Linked DNA regions of Daphnia pulex. The protein of the gene in region 2 interacts with the protein of the main gene of each other region in a pairwise test. Links are inferred from orthologs where the notes say so. Each region holds a gene or a part of one and is shown on either strand. Other genes may lie near its edges.

Evidence for each region.
Region 1: the proteins of segment polarity protein dishevelled homolog DVL-3-like (region 2) and tyrosine-protein kinase ABL1-like interact in binary tests that used the Drosophila melanogaster proteins (3 or more experiments, as listed by UniProt). The link is inferred for Daphnia pulex from reciprocal best matches to the Drosophila melanogaster genes dsh and Abl.

Annotation. Positions count from the first base shown.
Region 1 is NC_060021.1:8,610,610-8,620,747, reverse strand, and holds the start of tyrosine-protein kinase ABL1-like, read left to right. Parts: upstream 1-4,456; 5' UTR 4,457-4,878; intron 4,879-4,954; 5' UTR 4,955-4,997; coding exon 4,998-5,184; intron 5,185-5,199; exon of another isoform or gene 5,200-6,892; coding exon of another isoform or gene 6,893-6,974; intron 6,975-7,808; coding exon 7,809-8,060; intron 8,061-8,169; coding exon 8,170-8,468; intron 8,469-8,564; coding exon 8,565-8,766; intron 8,767-8,961; coding exon 8,962-9,295; intron 9,296-9,410; coding exon 9,411-9,582; intron 9,583-9,676; coding exon 9,677-9,789; intron 9,790-9,899; coding exon 9,900-10,042; intron 10,043-10,133; coding exon 10,134-10,138. UniProt on the Drosophila melanogaster protein: Arm and Abl proteins function cooperatively at adherens junctions in both the CNS and epidermis; critical for embryonic epithelial morphogenesis regulating cell shape changes and cell migration.
Region 2 is NC_060018.1:12,877,789-12,887,733, reverse strand, and holds the start of segment polarity protein dishevelled homolog DVL-3-like, read left to right. Parts: upstream 1-6,460; 5' UTR 6,461-6,678; coding exon 6,679-6,839; intron 6,840-6,971; coding exon 6,972-7,041; intron 7,042-7,110; coding exon 7,111-7,199; intron 7,200-7,267; coding exon 7,268-7,347; intron 7,348-7,463; coding exon 7,464-7,532; intron 7,533-7,639; coding exon 7,640-7,786; intron 7,787-7,850; coding exon 7,851-8,088; intron 8,089-8,157; coding exon 8,158-8,286; intron 8,287-8,358; coding exon 8,359-8,486; coding exon of another isoform or gene 8,487-8,546; coding exon 8,547-8,636; intron 8,637-8,696; coding exon 8,697-9,002; intron 9,003-9,070; coding exon 9,071-9,328; intron 9,329-9,417; coding exon 9,418-9,549; coding exon of another isoform or gene 9,550-9,584; exon of another isoform or gene 9,585-9,600; intron 9,601-9,724; coding exon 9,725-9,900; 3' UTR 9,901-9,945.

The DNA of each region.
Region 1 (10,138 bases), on a different chromosome or scaffold from region 2:
ATGAATTCCCAGATGTCACCTTCAGCCCAAACGGAAAGGGAAAAGAGAATAAGAGTTAATATAGTACATTTTGTGATGTACCGAGTAACGGTGAATGTTGAACATCTCGTGATGTCGCCCCATTACACCCACGTCCAATTCTATATGGATCCCAGGCTTCTGGTTTTATCCTTGACTCTTGAGAGGTTCTTTTTCGAGGACTAGAAGAGAAAGCAGAAACCTTAAAGCAAACGGGACCTTGGGAGTTTGTTTTTCAAAAGTCAAAATCGCGAAAATGAGTCGCGGGGCAACCGTCACCCTTGGCTGGAAATCATTTGAGACGGGAGAGAGAATTCACGTGCGTCTGACGACGATACGCATGTGACACCTCGTCCATTTTACACACGCGCCAGAGGTTCGTATTACGTTTTTACGTCATTAAAACAAAAAAAGACTCGAGAGAAGGACAAAAGTGGGTTCGTTTTGTTTTTCGGCGGAGGGGTATTTGACCAGCTGCGTTGTGTTATTTACCGTTAACTGGGGGGAAGAATTGCAAGAGAGGAAAAATGCATGTCCCGTTTAAACGAAATCGTTCAGCGTGATCTATCAGCTGGAACCGTGTTTGGGACTCTCGTGAGAGAAATGCGGGAGTGATTACGAAATGGCCATCCTCCAAAGTCAGATGGCGAAAACCAATTTTCAAAAGAAAATTGCCACAAAATTTCATTTTCAAAGAGGCAGGGAAATTTCACATCGAAAATCGCTGGACAGGAACCGATGAGAGGCTGAACCGAAGCCAAAATTTGGCCAAGCGATGCGAACATCGACTGCCGTACAACTAGTAGATGGAACGAAAAAGGAGTAATAAAAGTCGCCATAAAACAAAACACAATAAAAAGACAAACCAAACAAACTGAAAAAAAAAGAAACAATGGGTGTGTTACTGTCACTGTGTATGTGCGGAGGAGTTTTCCATGTGAAAAAACCAGACAGTATATTTGGCTACGCCCATACGGGTACATGCGTAACACCACGTCAATTATCCAACTCTCTCTCTCTCTTGATTAAAGTGAGAGTTATAAATCTTCTATTCAAATTTAACCAAAAAAAAAAGGGTTGGGGATTTATTATTTCAAGCCCTCCAAAAGACTCAACATTTCAAGAGTTGAAAAACAAAAGATGGCGCGCAGGCGCGGCATCCCCAACGGACAATACCTTGACATACACAACAGAGGGCTTCTTCTTTGATAAACTTTATTTATAATATAAACAAAAGCAGCCAAGTTCAAATTCGATTGGCAACTTTGGATGGGGGAAAAAAGAACAATAAAGCTTTATTCTTCTTTTTTATTATTCGCCAGAGACATCATCACTTCCGGTGGGCGATGGATGTTGTTGGGCAACATCGACTTAAACTCTTCAAAACCAAACTAGGAAAGAAAATAGAAAACGCAACACGGTTGGGTTGATCCCATGGCCTCGCGGGTATATCTTTTCCACGCAGTGCTATAACCAAAAGGAAAACTTTCATTGGCCTCCCCTGAGCTGCACTGCTGCTGGCCTGCGTGAAATCTAGGACATAACATCCACCTCCTCCTATACCCATTGAATAAACTAAAAATGGACTAGATGGGTCGGTCGTTGGAGAATTTGCACACCTGGCGTCACTGACGCACCTGCACACATGATGAAAGCATTTCGATCGACTCGACTAAACACTCGTTTTGAGAGTGTTTTACACGGGTGTACATTGCTACCAAGAATGGAGAAAAAAAGGATGACACCTAACCGAAAGAGAAAGATGGCTTTAGGCTATTCTTCTAGTCATTAAAAAACTGTTTCTACCTTTCCCTCCCTTTCTAGCCTCTTTTGGACGCTTTCCGTCAGGTGAGTGAACTCGCACAACGGCTCAAAAAACGTTCGACTCGGCCAAACACAGAACAAGATAAGCCAAGAAAATGAAACAATAATGTTGGTGTGGACACTCACCTTAAGATGTGGTCTTTGTCTGGATGGTGGCTGGACTAAAGATGTTGTTGAATCAAGGTGTGTGTGTATATGGAGTTGCAGGATAGCAGACGAGTCACAGAAATGTTAAGAGACCGCTAGTTCATGTGACCTCGGACGACGTGGTTTTTCATAAAAATAAAAGGGGGCAACGAGTGGAGCTGCAGCACACACCAACAACACACCAACCCACTCTGGTCTCTGCCGCCGCCTTCAGTTCGGTCTTGCAGCTCACGAACGACAACGGTCCGGACACGTTCTGCCTCAGAACACTATACACACACATTCTGGGTGTCTCTTGCCTTTTGGCTTAGTTCCCAACCTGCGCGCGGCCCATTCTTTTTTTTTTTGGTCAGGTGATTTAGACATCTAGCGGTCATTTGAGCAAGTTTCAACTGTCAGTCAATAGGTGGCGCTGGGGAGTCGAATCGTAAACAAAAACAATCGTGTTTGTTTGCATGAAAAAATCGAGAACAACCGTTCGTTCTTAAGGTTTCTCTTGGACACATCCGTACGCCAACACACGACACGATGTGTTTAAAACAAGATCGTTTGCACCGGTTGGTACACACGCACAAACTGTGTGGCGTTGTTTTTCTCTGGCAAACAAACGAAAAAGGGGGAGAAAAAGGAAGACCTTCCCCAGTCAAAAACCGGGAAATGATTCCAGCGACCGGGAATCCTCTCCTCACCTTTCTCGATATCCTGCTTCATTTTTTTTAAGTGAACACGACAGTTATCAAGTAGAAGAAGCCAAAGATGTTTCTCGGGGGGTTGTCGAATCAACGGGATATTTTGAATATGCGAGGGAGAGCTAAGAAGAAGCTCAGAACCAGGGCACGTAGAACATAATATACCGCAAAAGGGGTTCGTTCATCCCTTCTCCAACCCTGGAAATGAGTTATTTGACGTAATGTCAATATATTAAGGCAACGGTCCACAATATGTTGACAACGACTTCTTTTTTAAAAAGAAAAACTCTTGCAGCTACAGCACTGTACGGTCCGTGTCCAGTGGGCGGTATATTACGTCAGGGTGCGCTCAGGACGAGCCAAGAAAACCCAGCTGACATTCCAACCCCGAATCTCCTGTACACATTCTTATGGGGACAGAAAGAATTCTCTATCAGACGCTTGTTCAGAAAACGTCATCCGGCTAGCGCAGAATCGATACACAAGAGACGCGGAAATGAGCTTGACACAAGTCACATAATGTGTGCCGTTGTCCTGACAATCTTCCTTTACCAAGTGCCAAATAGACAAGAAAAACGTGTCGAACAGAAGAAGAAAAAACCAGAAATGAATACAAATTTGTTGGGTTTTTATCGCTTCCAATGTTTCCGACAACTACACAATCTTGAGAGACCCGTTCAGGACGGCTGCAATCCGTTTAGAACTTTTAGATATGACATTCTTCTTCTTCACGGGGGCGAAATGTGATTATCTGCGCACGATGACTTTGAAAGCTGCTGGAAATGTTTCATTTGAAATTGTTGGAAGGCAGGAAAACGATGAGGCTTCTGGGATTTTTTTTAACAAAGAACAGAAGGTATTATACAGAGACGACTGTTTATATTTGAACCAGTCAAAGTAGCTCAGAAAGACTGGGGGCCTGCTTAACAATAGCTAGCTCTTTCAGCAGCAAAAGAGTTCCTCTCTATATCTCTCCCCCTCACTCAGTCATTCAAAAATGTCGGTTTGGAGTTTTTCGAGTGATGAGGAAGGGAGAGGGGTTCCCTGTCCGTTGAATAGCCTCAGCACGTTCCAGCTGGAACGATCTATATATACGAGCCCTATAGCTGAGAGGGCTCGAGTCGTTGCCAGTGTGTGTGAACATTGTCTGGAGGTAGATAACAAAATCCCTGTGCCTAATTAGCGCGTTAGTGTTACACAAGAAAGACGAAAAGGAACCCAGCAAAAGTCAAAAGGAACATCGTCACTCGTCAGAGTCTTTGATTTCCCGAGGTCAGCAGCATCTCCAGCTGCTCGGCGTTGAAAAGATAAATGCATTTTAACACAAATCTTTCTTCGCGGTCTCAACTTTTTTGTTCTTCAGCAATCAGCTTTTCTTTTTTTTCCCGGAGCAGAGACTAGAACACAGTTGGATGTAATTTGTTTGTTCAGCAGCAGGGTTCGCTAGATCTAAAAGTCGCCAGATATCTCATCGTGCATCTCCAGCAAAGCGAATCGAACGAACGACCGCGATTGTGTAACGCGCCGGCGTCAACAGCAGCAACTCTGTAACAATGAGCTAGACTCTTTTTCTTCTTCCACTGGTATTCTAATATGAAGACACAAGGAGGAAATCTCAATGATAATTAAAAAGACAGCAACACGAGACGGGTTACATGGGTCTTCCGTTTCGTGAAAAAAGAAACTGTGACATTTGATGAGAGTAGGAAACGAGTACGACGAACTTGTTTTTCTTTTTCTCTTTTTAATATTCAGAGTTCGGCAACGCTGTTCCGCTAGAGCTGAATTTTGTAGATGGCACTATGGCAGCCATACACCGGGGGCTGCTGGAGTGAAGTCTCTCGTATTTGAAGCTTTTTTAGTCCGAGACGTTTTCTCGGTTCACCGTTGACGTTGAAACCAAAAAAGAAACACACCCTCGTTTTTCAAGTCACAAACATTAGTCGTTGTTGATCGGGTTTTATTGGAATTTGGGTGTGCCGCAGTATTTGTTTTTAATCAGACCTGGATTCAGCATAGTTGTGTGTGTGTGCCGTCGCCCTTGGAAGAAATAATCAACACAAAAGCCTATAGCTCTTGTCTGCTATAGTCTTTTTTACCCTCAAAGTGTAACACTCCAGTTTCGTTTATGCCGTTTGTCTCCATCGCCTGTCATCACAAATGATACCTATCTAGACAGAACTGATAGCCCAGTTTGACTGTAAGTGGATTATTCATCACACACACAGCAGAGAGCCTGACCCCAAGACATAACCATCTGATTCATCCTCTTTCAGTTTGCTGCTCTTCCCAGCTGGCGATGTGCATACATTCAGGGCAATGGGAGCCCAGCAAGGCAAGGAACGTGAGCGGACATCCACAGCAGCTGGCTCCCTGCACTCGCTCACCCTCACATCTACAGCTGGTTCTAGACCGGTGAAGCCAAAAACCAACTCCTTGAGACCGGCCAGGGAGAACTCTTCAGCTACTCGTTCTCAGGCCTTCAATGTGTTTGTCGAACACAATGGTATGTCAATTGTCTGTTTATCTTGCCACGATACTCTTGTGCCGTCAACCAGGCATGTGGTTGTTTGCTCCTGTCAAATGAGTTCATGCCACTGCAACTTGCAGCGATCCAACCTTGAGAGTGTGAATATGAAAACCCCCTTGTTGTCATTCCTTTTAGAGTTTTTACTAGGCCATGGAAACCAAACCTACTGCTAACCTACATTCGCCCCTGGGTTACTGAATCGCTCCGTAATCGATAGACTAGATTATGCAATTTGATTGGTCACACAGTCTGCATTCGCCACCGTGAGGTGTTGTTGTGGTTGATCTGTCACCATAGTGACAGGGCAGTCCGCCTACTTTCTATGCAGATCTGAAATCGCTTGTTGGAACTGGTGCGACTCAAATTATGCACACGAGGCCAGAGAACGTCAGATAATTTATTTATGATTCGACCCACGAGAGACTCGGTTTGTCAGGTGATTTTCGTTCAGGCTTTTCCGTCTATCGTGCCAACTTTGCATCAAGAGAGAAACCGTGAGAATTGACATAGTTCGTTCGGTTGACACACAACTCCAAAACTCCCCTTCAACTCCCAAGAGTGATAGATGATGACGAAGAAGAAGAAGAAGAAGGAAGAATCATGGGGAGGTTCAATTACTCAGAGTGTTTGGAGACCGGAGTCACGGGTATGGCGCCCGTCTTCCTCCTTCCAGATGCCTCTTTCCGTTCCAACGAAAGAAAAAGAAACAAATTCCCAACTTAATCTGATTAGTGTACAAGAGACTCGGTTCTCCCATCTCTCTCGCACCAATGAACGGGCCAAGAATCGCTCTTTTAAGTCTTTGTGTGTCTGTGTTGTGTTGTCGGAATGGCATTATTGCAGCTTTCGGATACGACGAGGCTCTTTAACAAACCGTCTGGACGTTGTCCTAAAAAACAAAACAAAAAAAAATCTGGCATTTCGGTCTGCGATGCTCTTTTCTTGGCTTCCTCATCATTTTTCCCAGCTGCCATGTGAGATTGCCTTGGACGCCAGAACCGTGTCCATTGGCAGATGCAATCTCGTCAGTTTCTTATTCATTCATTCATGTTTTGAAAGTTTTATTTCCTTTGACTTGTTGTTGTCTGTCAGAAAAATTACATTTCTCTTCAATTGCTGAGAAAATGGGATTTTTCCGTGCACTTACTACACAACCACAACAACAACGACGACGATTTTGATAAATCGCATGCAGGGTGCCCTGGACCACTACGCGTTGCTCGTATGTGTGTCTCTCTCTCGACCAGCAGCGACCGGAACGCTGAAAAATGACGGCCAGATGTCGTGCTGCGTTTCAGGAGTCGACTGTGGGAGGGACCTGAAAGGGGCCACCGCAAAAAAGAAAAGAATTAAAGAGAAAAGAGGAAAAAGAAATAACCGGTGGTGCCTCGTCCAACCGACGATTCGTTCTAATCACGAGCCGCAAAAGGAGATGAGGGGAAATTCAGTCTCTCCAGTTACTCGTCACTGGACGGACATTATCCAGTCCTTTCTCGCCCTCTCCTTTTTCGCTCTATGCGTGAGGTGTAGTGAACTGTAGTGTGCAGCCTAGAAGAAGAAGTAGTTATCTGGTTTCGGTCAAAGTTCCTTTTTCGTGAAAACCAACCCAAAAAATTGCCAAAAAAGAGAAGAAGAAGAAGAAGAGTCAAAGAAGACGCTGCTGCTGATTTGGTCGGTTTGCGCCATGTCGAATCCCGCCCTCTTGCCGCCCTCGGTCATGCGGCTCCTTCAGATCCTTTATCCTCCCGGTGCCAAGCCTCGACTTGGTAAGAACCTCACAAGTTACAAGCAAAAGTAAAAAAAAAAAAAAAAGTCAAGAGTCAGCCATTATTGATCGGCTGCTGTACCTTATTATTGATGTTCCGCCTGACTTATTCCTTTCGATCCTGTTTGTACTGACCAAATGCTGCGGGTCGAATTTCTGGAAACGGATCCTATCCGCCACGGAAGATTTGACTTATTTACTCTCAATGAACCCGTCTACTTTGGTGTAATCATGTCCGCTACTTTTTGTTGTTGGTTTTTTGAAACGAGAGAAACGATCTAGTCGTGTCGGGGAGTGCCAATTTAATCGTGAAAAATGCGGAGACTACAACAACAGTTTGCGTAGTTGGCAACTTTAGGGAAACTTGTAATGGTAGCCGTTGTGGAACAAACAGATACTTACCGAACAGCTGTTGTGCCGTGACGTCCGACCGGTTAACTGAGGTCAAAACGTGAAGATTTTTCAATGTCTTATTTTGAAAACTAGCAATTTCTAATGCAAATCCTTCGTTAACGACGGTATCTGGGGGGATTATATGGAAGAAAAGAAAAAAAGAAAAGAACACGACACACAACAGATGAGGCCAGCAGCTTGTTGGAACAGGGGCGAATTAAAAACCGGCCCTGTCTTGTTTATTACCGTTACATACACTGTGGCATTGCGTGCCATTGGCCTAGCGGTTTGAATAGTTTCCATATGAGGGTCAGACATCTTGCATGTTTCGTTCTGATTTCTCCCTTTGTTTTTGTTTCTCGTGTTTTCATTTATTTTATCTTTTTATTGTATTTTATTCTTTTTTTTTGTTTTGTTTCCTTCTCGATTGTGTGTCACACAGAGGCATTGTTGCAGAACCGGCCACTGCCAACGCTGCCCGACTTGGCGACGGGCACGTTGGACATGGACGGTGGCGGATCGTCGGGACTAGGAGGCGGCCACTGCGGTACCACCTTTAGCCTTGAATCGGCGCACCGATGGACGTCGAGAGATAATCTGCTCCATACCGAACCCGACGATGAAGACCCGCAACTCTTTGTCGCTCTTTATGACTTTCAAGCTTCCGGCGATAACCAGCTCAGCTTGAAAAAAGGTGCCGCTTTAAAAATTTTTTCATATCAACCAGACATTCAAACGTTATTTTTTTCTTTTCCCCTTATTTTTTAAATCTCTTTTTTATTATTATTATGATCATTCTGTAGGCGAACAAGTGAAAATTCTGAGCTATAATAAAAGTGGAGAATGGTGCGAAGCTCATTCGGGTTCGGGCAGGGTCGGCTGGGTCCCGTCCAACTATGTGACTGCTGTCAATTCCCTAGAGAAACACTCTTGGTATCACGGACCAATCTCCCGCAATGCAGCTGAATACTTGCTCAGTTCGGGCATCAATGGCAGCTTTTTGGTTCGGGAATCGGAAAGCAGTCCCGGACAACGATCCATCTCACTCCGTTATGAGGGTCGGGTGTATCACTATCGGATCAGCGAAGACTCGGAAGGGCGGGTAATAAATAAATCCAATCCTATTGAATTGCAAACCTCCCCCTCTAAACTTGTTTGAATGTTTACTTTACTACTTTTTTTTTATTTTTTTAAAAAGGTTTACGTCACTTCTGAGAGTCGATTCCGGACCCTGGCCGAGCTCGTCCATCACCATTCGGCCAATGCCGACGGCCTCATCACGCAATTGTTGTATCCGGCCCCCAAACGTCACAAACCTCAAGTGTTTGCTCTTAGTCCCGAGCCGGATGAGTGGGAAATTGAGCGTACGGACATCGCCATGAAGCAGAAGCTTGGAGGAGGTATTAATTCATTTCGGCCTAGGTGGTGTCCGCTTTCTCTTACTGCTCGCTGGGTGTTTGCGGTTGTCATCGTGTCGATTACGACGTGAACTAATTGAAGCGCGGGAGATGATGATGATGATGAACCGCGGCTTTCCCTTCCTGGACGATTTCGAAACCCCCCTAAACTTTTGGTCCTTTTCTATTTAATTGTAGGCCAGTACGGCGACGTGTACGAGGCAATGTGGAAGAGATACAACATGACTGTGGCCGTCAAGACGCTCAAGGAGGACACAATGGCGCTTAAAGACTTTCTAGAAGAGGCGGCCATAATGAAGGAAATGAAGCATCCGAATCTGGTTCAGTTGCTAGGCGTGTGCACGCGCGAGCCTCCATTCTACATTGTCACCGAATTCATGTCGCGAGGCAACTTGCTCGACTATTTACGAAGGGCCAACCGTGAAGAGATCGACGCCATTGTTCTCCTTTACATGGCAACCCAAGTAGCGGCCGCCATGTCCTACCTGGAGAGCAGGAATTTCATTCACAGGTGAGAATTAGCTAGGGTCCCGGGGAAATTTGATAGACTGGATCGCGCGGGGGTCTCTTAACTGCTGCCGCGATGTGTTTCATTAACCCGAAAACGTTTTGCTTATCATCTGAAGGGATCTTGCCGCCCGTAATTGCCTTGTCGGCGAGAACCACTTAGTCAAAGTGGCCGATTTCGGATTGGCGCGTTTAATGCGTGACGACACCTACACGGCTCACGCCGGCGCTAAATTTCCCATCAAATGGACCGCACCCGAAGGCTTGGCGTACAATAAATTCTCCACCAAGGTGACACTTTCCTCCTCTTTCCTGCGGCTCCCGTTTTTCCTCGTCATTAATCGTTTGTGTGAAAATGTTTCTTTTTTCTTCTTTCTTTCTCTAGTCGGACGTCTGGGCTTTTGGGATCCTTTTGTGGGAAATTGCCACCTACGGGATGTCCCCTTACCCCGGTATCGATTTAACTGATGTCTACCATACCCTGGAAACAGGTTACCGGTGAGTTATTGTGTCTACTTTTTTTTCTTACGTTTTCATTTCAACAGCTGAACTCGATTTTTCTTTTATCTCTCTCTCTCTCCCTGACGATGGGGTTTCCTATACTAAAGGATGGAATGCCCTCCAGGATGCCCGCCCCGGGTCTACGATCTCATGCAGCAATGTTGGCATTGGAGTGCCAATGACCGGCCGACTTTCCAAGAGATCCACCACGGCCTGGAAAATATGTTTCAAGAGTCGAGCATTAACGAAGGTTCGCCATTCTACTTACCAGCTTATCAAATCGATTGGAATAATTTTCTGACTGGTGGGTTGTTCCCAATTAAATTGGTTCGACTAATTAGAAGTC
Region 2 (9,945 bases):
TCTTTGAGGGCACCGCTCAGGGATTGGAAAAGATTTTTGTTTACCACCTAACAAGAAAATAAAGGCCATTTTTAGTGATTCGTAACCACAGAAATAAATTGCTAGCAGTTTAAGTAGACTCTCAGATACTATCAAGCAGGAAGATTATCAAAGTTGTTTAACATTCCATAAAGGAGCAATCATTGAGACTTTAAAAGATGAATTTCGTTTGGCATAAAATGTTTACCTGTGGCAATAAGGCACTTGTCGTAGGCTTATGGCACGGCCATCGTCAAGTTCGGCTTTCCGTCCGACAATGTCAAGTTTAACGACGCGGTGTACACGTACGAATGCTACGCCGCCGTTATCTTTCCTATTCAATTAGACGGGATTGCAGTAAATTCATCCGAAAAACAGACAAGGAAGGAAAACAAGTCATTAGTACATGTTCAAAAAAATTACAATAATAAAGAGCTCACCCTCACTCTTTGTCGTTCCACTGTTTGAAACGAAGATTATTCGAAACTTCGGGGCTGCCGTGTTGCGTGTCGGAGAAGCTCACTTGACCGACTTCTATCGTACTTGGGCGCTCCAGTGTAGTATTCGACAGCTTTAGTGGTGTAATAAGCTGGAGCCTCGGTGTCGTAGGTTGGGGCAGCATACGTAGTTGCGTAGTCTCAGTAGGTGCCTCGGTGGTGTAGTACTTAGGAGCTTCGGTGTAGTACTCTGCGCTTTGGTAGTGTAGCTCGGGGAGCAGCACAAGTTGTGGTGTAATAATCTGAATCCTTGGTGGTTTAACTGTAAACCCAACTGTGCAACCTCGGTGTAGTAACTGGTCGTTGCGTATGTTGTTGTGTAGTAAGGCGGCGGCGCTGCGGTTTGGTATCCGCCTTATCCAGGAGACATCGGTACACCAGTGTTCGACCCAGCCATCAACGATACAACAACCAATAGCAGCACGACGGCATAGTTAACTAGACAATATTAAATATTCAACAATAACGGACATATTATCAAATAGAAAAAATGGAAAGTGATACAAAATTCCACGTAGAAATACAGATTATTTACCCGTGATTGCGACCTGGTATTACGACGAAGAATGCAGTTGTTGCCGGGTCGGAGATGCTCACTCGATTGACTTATGTTGCCTTTTCTCTTTCCTTTTGAAAGATTTTCTCTCGTGGTCGACATCAACGATACAGCACCCAACAGCAACACAATACCATAATTAGCTATGGAATAAACAATCGGAAATTATTTTTCGAAGGTAACTAGTCGTATCAACAACTAATGACAAGATAGAATAGATTTACGACTCGAAATAAAAATGAACATTTACCCGTGATTGCGAACTGATATTACGACGAAATATGGAGTTGTTGCCGTGTCGGAGATGCTCACTCGACTGATCCCTGCCAACTTTTCTTTCGCCTTTTATACAATTTTTTCTCACCCCTCCTCTTAAGCCTAATGGCTATTTTACCTTTTTGATAATGAAGCAAAACGTCCCGTTCTTACCCAACCTCTACACCAATGCCTGACACCTTTGCCGTAATGATATCCATGACCTTCGATTGAAATGCAAACTGGCCTTTCTTTCTGCAGGTGACTTTGCCGGGGATGGGTCTACAATAACCAATATCAAAATGAATACCAAATGGCTTACACTTGCGGCTATTGTACCTTTTAGATAATGAAGCAACACGTGTCATTCTCACCCAACCTCTACACCACTGCATGATACGTTTTACGTAATGATCTCCGTGACCTTCGAGCGTCAAGGTCGTAGAAACTGGCCTTTTTCTTTCTGCAGGTTGACGTTGCTGGGAATGGGTCTACAAAAACTAATATCAAAACACATATCAAATCATAAATGATAATGGCTTAAATTTTAGTCACTTTAAAAATACCACATTTGAGTCATTTGACTCGTTTCTTCGGTGAATGAATTCCATTTCGAACCGTTTGAAGGACTGTCGGCTTTTTTAAAAATATTCTACTGCAAACTTTTCTAAGTTTCAAACACATAATCCTTGCACCTGCGGTCGGAGAAGAAAATCTAAAAAAAAGATAAATTATTAATATAAAAAAATACAAATCAAAGCTTCTCATTAAACGGTTGAATAAAATCAACAAAGTTTTGCGACCTCGTGACTTTCGTGTCCATTCTTCACTGGGCTATTCAACATGTGAAAAGGCCACAGTAGTCTAAGTTACGCTTTTCTTGTCTGTTGGATGAAGAGCTCGGACACTTGTTCGAAATTTTGGTGATCTTGAAATAGTAATTCGATTGTTTCGGCGTTTGGAGCAATTAAATGGAAGACCAGGATCTCTTCTTCTTCTGTAGTACAGCAGATGAGAGCAACTTGAGCAACGCCCTACATCGGCGGCCAGTAAAGTGGAATTATTTGTAGGACATTCTCTTACAATTTTAGCAAGTTCTTTAGGAGAATCACAAGTTGACGTGCTCTTAAGCAATGCGTATAAATTGGCTTGGTGGACAAATATTCTTCCTTGATTTCCAGTAGCAACTCTTGGCCGAATAATCGAAATGACAACTAAATTGAGTTTCTCAAACATTCTCTTGACCGTCGAAACTTGCAAATACGAAAGTTTGATGTTCTACTCGGTATCAAATAGCAAGACACATTTCACGATTTTAAAGCCCAGCCAAAGAAGCCTTGAGGCAAGTTGTCAACACGATTACAGAGACGAAGTCACCTAAAAGTGAACCAGAATTTTTAGTAATTGCAAGATTAGTACACCAGACGAAAAAGTTTATACTTCAATGGACGAAAATGGCTGATGAATTCTCCTTGAGAACTGAAGGTATCTGAAGAAGCCAACGACGCGAATGATAAATGAGCCGCCGCTTCCGTGAAAAATTTCCAGTTGCTCGCATCCGGCCCTAAGCACGGTCCCAAATGTTCCCCACTCGAGGAAAAAGCCCTTCGGTTTTTCAAAAATGTTATCCACATAATAACTCATCTTCGAAAACGGTAATTTTTTTTTCAAAACAATTATGTAAATGTACGAAGCATAAACAAATCTAGAAATAGGCCTTTAAAAAAACGCAATTAAAACTAATTAATCAAACATTCAACAAAAGTTTTAGTCATACTTCTTTCATTTCCTATGCGTTTTCATCTTCGCTTTTAGCGACACGATCAAGAAACCACCGTTATGGTCCAAGATGGATGTCAAAAGTCGCCAATAAGTGACTGAAGGGTTGCATGCAAGTGCGGACACCAAATGGCATTTCGATAAGGGAAATAGGATGAGTTGAGTGACATCGATCGGTCAGGATAGTTGGCATAGACGAAATAACACCATGGCTTTGTTGAAGGCTTATAAGAAATACGCCAGACGTCGTACGAGGGCGAATCGAAGCTGGCGTCGCTTACGGCATTGACCGCGTTTCAGTTAATTTGGTTCTTCATTAGTTATGTCTGCAAACACTATTAATAAAAATAAACTGTGAACATTTCCCTGTACAAAACTAACATTCAGCTTACCTTTCCATAATTCAATCATGAGTTGATTGCTTTATAGTCCCAAGGCCGTTCGCACACCACTGTAGATCTGCTCTAAGATTAAACGTGAGCAGACTTGTTTGAAAAACTGGAACGAGCATTTCGAGCATTCATGACTTTTCAAAAAATCAATCGATATTTTTCGATAAAGATCAACAAAGGTTGGTCAGTAGGCGAGTGAACCAACTCTCTCAGCGAGATTTTGTGCTGGTCCGTTGTGAACGTCTTCGTCGACGAAACAATAATCCCAACTGTCACCAAATGAAAAGCCCTGGACGCGGATCGGCGTGAACGATGAAAATGACGCGGCATTTGATTTCTTCAGGACTCCCTTCACCTACTCCAGTTCTTCGAATTCCCACAAATTTTGACCTTATGCATTCGTTTGTCACTGTACCGTTAGTCAACTGCCTCAGATAGTAGAGCTCGTGATAAAAGGGCTTTTCAAATTCCATCTTGGTTAAAACTGCAGCACAGTTCATGTGTTGGGGGCTCAAGTAGTGTCATGTATTACTTTCCTTATGGCAAGAGTTTCATCACCAAAGCCAATTTATTCCCGGATGTCAATATTTTTGGCAAAGATGCCATTTGTAATGAACCAGCATTACCTTCCATGTCATTCGTGACCCAAACATTCAAGAGTCTGAAAAGAGAAATAAGGAATTTCGTTAAATTATCCTGAAATAGTTATCTTTAGTTATCTCACTACTACTTTTTCCTTATTATTAAGCACACAATCACAAGCTTTGCTTAAGTAATACTTACAAAATAATCTTGCTGTTCACATTATAAGAGATAGGTGATAGAAGATGTGGTACTGTAATCCATGCCAATCCCCATGTAGACTGAAGTCGACAGGAGATTAGAGTTTGTTCTTATTCTATGCAAATATTGTGTCTGGCAGTTCACGTAGGTGGGTGTTGTGTCACTGATTGCTTGAGTTCACTCTATTAAGTAATTGTTCTATGTACATATCATTGGATTCTTTGTTAGCAGAGGTAACTGCAACGGTCACACTGAACTTGAAAAGCTTAGACTTGCTGCATTCGAACTAAGTGCTGGGGGTTATTAACATAATAAAAACACACAGAACAAAATCTTTTAGAAGCCCTTTTTTTGTTTGAGCAAACAAAGATTGAAAAGTCCAATATGGGTGAAACCATCCATCCATGCCTTGATGTGATCTGGGCCCATTGAATATAAACATTTCCTTGATTTGACTGCTTTCGTGAGGCAATCGAGAAGAAAAAAAAAAGCAAACTTTTGCGTGAACTCATTAGACAAATGCTCACTACAATCAAACCATCTCATGATTGAAACTTTGCACGTTTGCAAAAAAATGCTGCCAATGCTGGTGAGTGGTGGCAGACGAACTTCAGTGAGAACTGGCTACTAGTGATGTTTCGTTAACGATAACGGATAACGTGAAAAGTCCGTTAACGGACCTTTTTTGGGGTTCGTTAACTTAACGGATAACGCTAACGTTTGGCATTTTTCAGACGTTATTTTCAGACGTTATTTTTGTTTTTAACAGCGCTGCCAAATATGAAATTTTTGGATTTTTCAAAATGAAATTTGTATTTTTTGCGCGCTTCCAACATTTTACTGTAGTAGGTTGACTATGAAAACGAATTTAAATAGCCAATGACAGTGAGCAGTAGTCTTCTTAGCTTCTCTGAGGTTTTTTTTTGCTTTCAAAACGTGGCAAACGAAACTGTATAAGTAGAGTAGGGAAACAACTAGAATCAGAGTGTAAATCTTTAATGTCAGATTCAGACTCTGATGCTCCTGTTGACGGTGAATAAGCGTGGCATCTGCGATGTTAGAAGATCTCGAAAGAAGATTTAATTTCATGACAGATTAAAGAGATCCTGATTTCGACTGCTCCTACCTTCTAGCCACTTCCCTCGACTGCATTGAAACTGAACTTTTAGACAACTTCCACTTTGCAAGTCATGAATTTGATCCTTCTAAGGATCCACCAGTTCAAGATGTGATCTCTTACTGGAAGGATTTGTCTGGTCGTTTCCCCTAATTATCCAAAATGGCCTATAATTTACTGGTTATACCAGTTTCTTCGGCATCATCTGAACGCGAATTTTCCATTGCCGGATGGCACTGTCTAGGACACAAAAATAGGACGGCGGAAGAAGTTTTGGCCGCAAAAGTCTTCCTCACTTGCAATAAGGATTTATTGAGGCCTTTACTTTTTTAGTTGGAACTTGTTTTTTTTTCTTTTGTCTGTGCGTTTATTTAATCCGCAGTTTCTGTTTTTTTTAGTTGATCATTGCTTCATTGTGACATTGTTCAACGCCAGCAGCAATTTAAATATAAGTAATCAAGACCGTGACTGATTTCAGTGATTTGATAGTGCAATTTTTTTATTAAATAACGGTAAAAATAACGTCGAATTTTCGTTAACGGAGACATTTTTAACGGCGTTAATTAACGGCGTTAACGAACGTGAAAAAATGAGACATCGTTAACTTAACGGATAACGCTAACGTTTAGAAAAAGCACTAACGAAACATCACTACTGGCTACTAGCTTGCTGCCCTTTTGCCATGATACCACAACCTAAAAGCAATCGAAAATTTAAGGAATCTTTACAGCTTACATGATAACCAAAGCTAGAATACATATTAATTATTATTTTATGAATAAATATTAATATATATTATATTATATTACTATGGATACGATAGTAAGATCACCAATTCACCATGATTAATGATTATTGTATTATTAATATATCACGGCCGTTAGCGAGTTATTCAACGTTATATGCTATTTTATTTTTTTAAATGAAACAAAAATCACGAACAACAGCCCTTTTTGAAGATCCCCCCTTTTTGCCAGATTTGAATTTGAAGCAAGTAGTGTGCAGTGTGAGCAGTAGATGGCTACGCTGTGGATAGCGGGTCGGAAAAACCATCTGTCGGCTGACGTTAATATTTTTTGGGAAAACCGGGACGCCCAATTGGAGGCTCACAAGACTTTAAGCCTCGCCATATTGAACAGCCTGAGGGAAAGGGGAAAAGTCTGTATTCACTATTCAGTCCTCTTCATGTTGCGCAGATAGTAACTTTTGACGCCCTACCCGTTTTTGTAATCTTGTCAAAACGATTGGTTTGTTGTCGTTGACTCTTGACGCAGTTTCCTAATGGCGGAAACAAAGATTATTTACCACATTGACGAAGAAGAAACTCCCTATCTTGTTAAACTTACAATATCTCCCGATCAAGTTACCCTAGCCGATTTCAAGAATGTTCTCAATCGTCCAAATTACAAATTTTTCTTCAAATCAATGGACGACGATTTCGGGTAAAACCAGTTTTTCTCGTTTTTTTTTTGTTGTTGTCAAGTGGCAATAACGTGTTACATGATAATTGTCCATGTAGTTATTTTTTTATGCAAGTGTAAGCATTGTTTTCTCTTTATTGTTTATGTTTCTAGTGTTGTCAAGGAAGAAATTGTTGATGACGATGCTCACCTTCCATGTTTCAATGGAAGAGTCATATCATGGGTAAACGTAACAAGTTAAATTATATTGATGAATATTTTAAGATGTCTTAATGTTTCTTTCACTTTGTAGCTAGTATCAGCTGAAAGTAGCATTTCAGACTCTGTATCTCAATGTGCTGAGAGTACTGCCACTACTGATGGGAGACCACCGTCTTTCCAGTGAGTTTTTTCTTTACAAATTTTCACTGCTTGTAAAGTTTGGTAATTAACTCGTCATTTGATTTTAGCCCTGGCCATAACAGAAGTATGGCTGAGGAATACACAACAGCTACTGAGACAGAATCGGTCATTAGTTCAAGACACAGTGGTAAACTTTATTTCCTTATGCTGTATTTTTATGTTTATGTGTTTACCTTTGTCCTGTTGCATCTCATTTTTCGTTATCTTCTGCAATTCTTTTGTTCTTTATGTTTTGCCATGAAGAGAGGCACATATTGCCCCGCTCTGGCCGTGTGCATCGTGAAACTTATGAAAAATATGATCGCTTTGATGGTGAGTTTGTTAGCATGGCTTTTTTTGTAGATTGTTGCTTCACTAAATTTTCATGTAGAATGTCTTATCTTACTATATATTCGATTAACATCCGATTGTCTCTTTAGTTCAAGCTCCTCGAAATGGCCACAACGCTATGAGACACAGAGCTGGACACGAATATGAATCCTCTTCTATGATCAGCTCGGATTTAGAGTCGACCAGCTTCGTTGACTCTGAAGAAGATGCATCTTCACGTATCACAACGACCACGGGTATTAAGCAAAGTTATAATAACTCTGGATTTATTGAAAATTTTGCATATTTTGAAATTTGCAGATCACACTAGTGTGTCTCGCCAAGGTCGCAATCGGAGACGTAATCGTCGCCGTCCCCGCCTCCCTCCTCTTTCATCTCGAGCTTCATCATTCTCCAGTATCACGGATTCCACTATGTCACTCAACATAATCACTGTCACCCTCAACATGGACACAGTCAACTTTTTAGGAATTTCCATCGTCGGCCAGAGTCATCAAGGTGGTGATGGTGGAATTTACGTAGGATCCATAATGAAAGGGTATAAACACAGATGAACCTGACATATTTCTTGTGGTAATTTCAAATGAAAATCATTGCTATTATTTAGTGGGGCTGTCGCTTTGGATGGTCGAATCGAGCCTGGTGACATGATCCTTCAAGTCAATGATATTAACTTTGAAAATATGTCAAATGACGATGCCGTTCGCGTTTTACGAGAAGTTGTCCAGAAACCTGGGTAAGCATAACTGTTTTTTTTGTTTTCCAACTTAACATTTAGTACATTGTGTTTTTTATTTGCATGTGTCAGCCCAATCAAACTTGTAGTCGCCAAGTGTTGGGATCCTAATCCAAAAGGATATTTCACTATACCCCGTACGGAACCTGTTCGCCCTATTGATCCCGGTGCGTGGGTTGCTCACACGGAAGCAGCAAGAGGTGATTGTCGTATTTTAAATCATAAATTGGCATCCAACAACAAATCTAACGTCATATTAGGTGGAACGCAGTACCCGAATCGTCCGCCATCTGTGGCGACGATGTCGTCAACCACCACAACAATGATGTCGAGTATGCCAGAAACCGAACGTAAGTTGTCACGTAGAAAATGTACCGAAAGAACTTTTGACTAAGTACTACTTGTCACAGGTCCAGTTGAAGAAGCCCAACCGCTTTCAGTGCGCTCAGACATGCTCGCAATTGTGCGAGCGATGGCGCGCCCAGATTCCGGACTTGAAGTTAGAGATCGCCTTTGGTTAAAAATTGTAATTCCAAGTGCGTTTATTGGATCAGAAGTGGTCGACTGGCTTCACAATCGCGTGCAAGGACTAGAAGAGCGGCGTGATGCCCGCAAGTTGGCTTCCCAGCTTCTGCGAAACGGTTACATCAGACATACAGTAAACAAGTACACATTCTCTGAACAATGTTACTACGTGTTCGGAGACCTGTGTTTGGGTGAGTTGACATTTGAGACTTATCGGGTTATAGAATATTTTGTTTGATGAAAGGGTTTTATCTTGTAGGTGTTTCGGCTCTTCGCCTGACTGATGACACGACATCGGAAGCCGATAGAGACACGCTCGCACCGTTGCCGTTGCCGACTCCTTGGGGTAGTGGGCCTGGTGCTACAGGAGCCGGTGGGGCTACCCCTCACATACCTTATTATCCAACCGGTTATGCGCCCATGCCTTACAGCTACAGCAGTGATCCCCTCGGATCGGCGCCTGTACAAAGTACTACATTTACGTATGGAAGAGAAGGCAGCGTTCACAGTGGTTCAGGTAACCCTCCAAATTCGATTAATTGAATCCTTACAAACTGTATTGTGAAAGTCGAACTTCAAATATGTTGACGTTGTAATAACAAACAGGGAGCAGTGGATCCGACGTACGCAGTGGACTGATGGGTGGAGACAGAAGTCAACCACCTTCTCTGCTAGGCGCAGTAAATCCCGTCGGACCAGGAATCCATGGGTCATCCAGCAGCAGCGGTTCTAGTACGGGTAATACAGTCTCTTTAAGACAGCAAAGACGATGATACCTACAAATGGCATGTGTGTATTTGAATGCAATCAAGAGTTTTGTATTTAAAGGAATAATAAAGAGCAGCTTCGTTTTATTTTATTTTATTTTTTTGTTCTCTCTTTTTTTGCTCTTTTTTTTACGATTTGCGCCTAGGAAGCAGCGACGGGGATTCTCAGATAGCAGTGAACGTTCGGTCGAACGGTGGGCAAGGCGGGGCCGACCGGCCTTTGAATCAAGTTCCGGATGACATGTCTGGATCGAGACAGTCTTTTCGAATGGCCATGACAAATCCATGCCAGATGAACGAGTACTTTGTCGACGTAATGTGATTGATCATTTTCTAGGTGTTAGCCGTTGCTTTTGGGGAAGCGTAA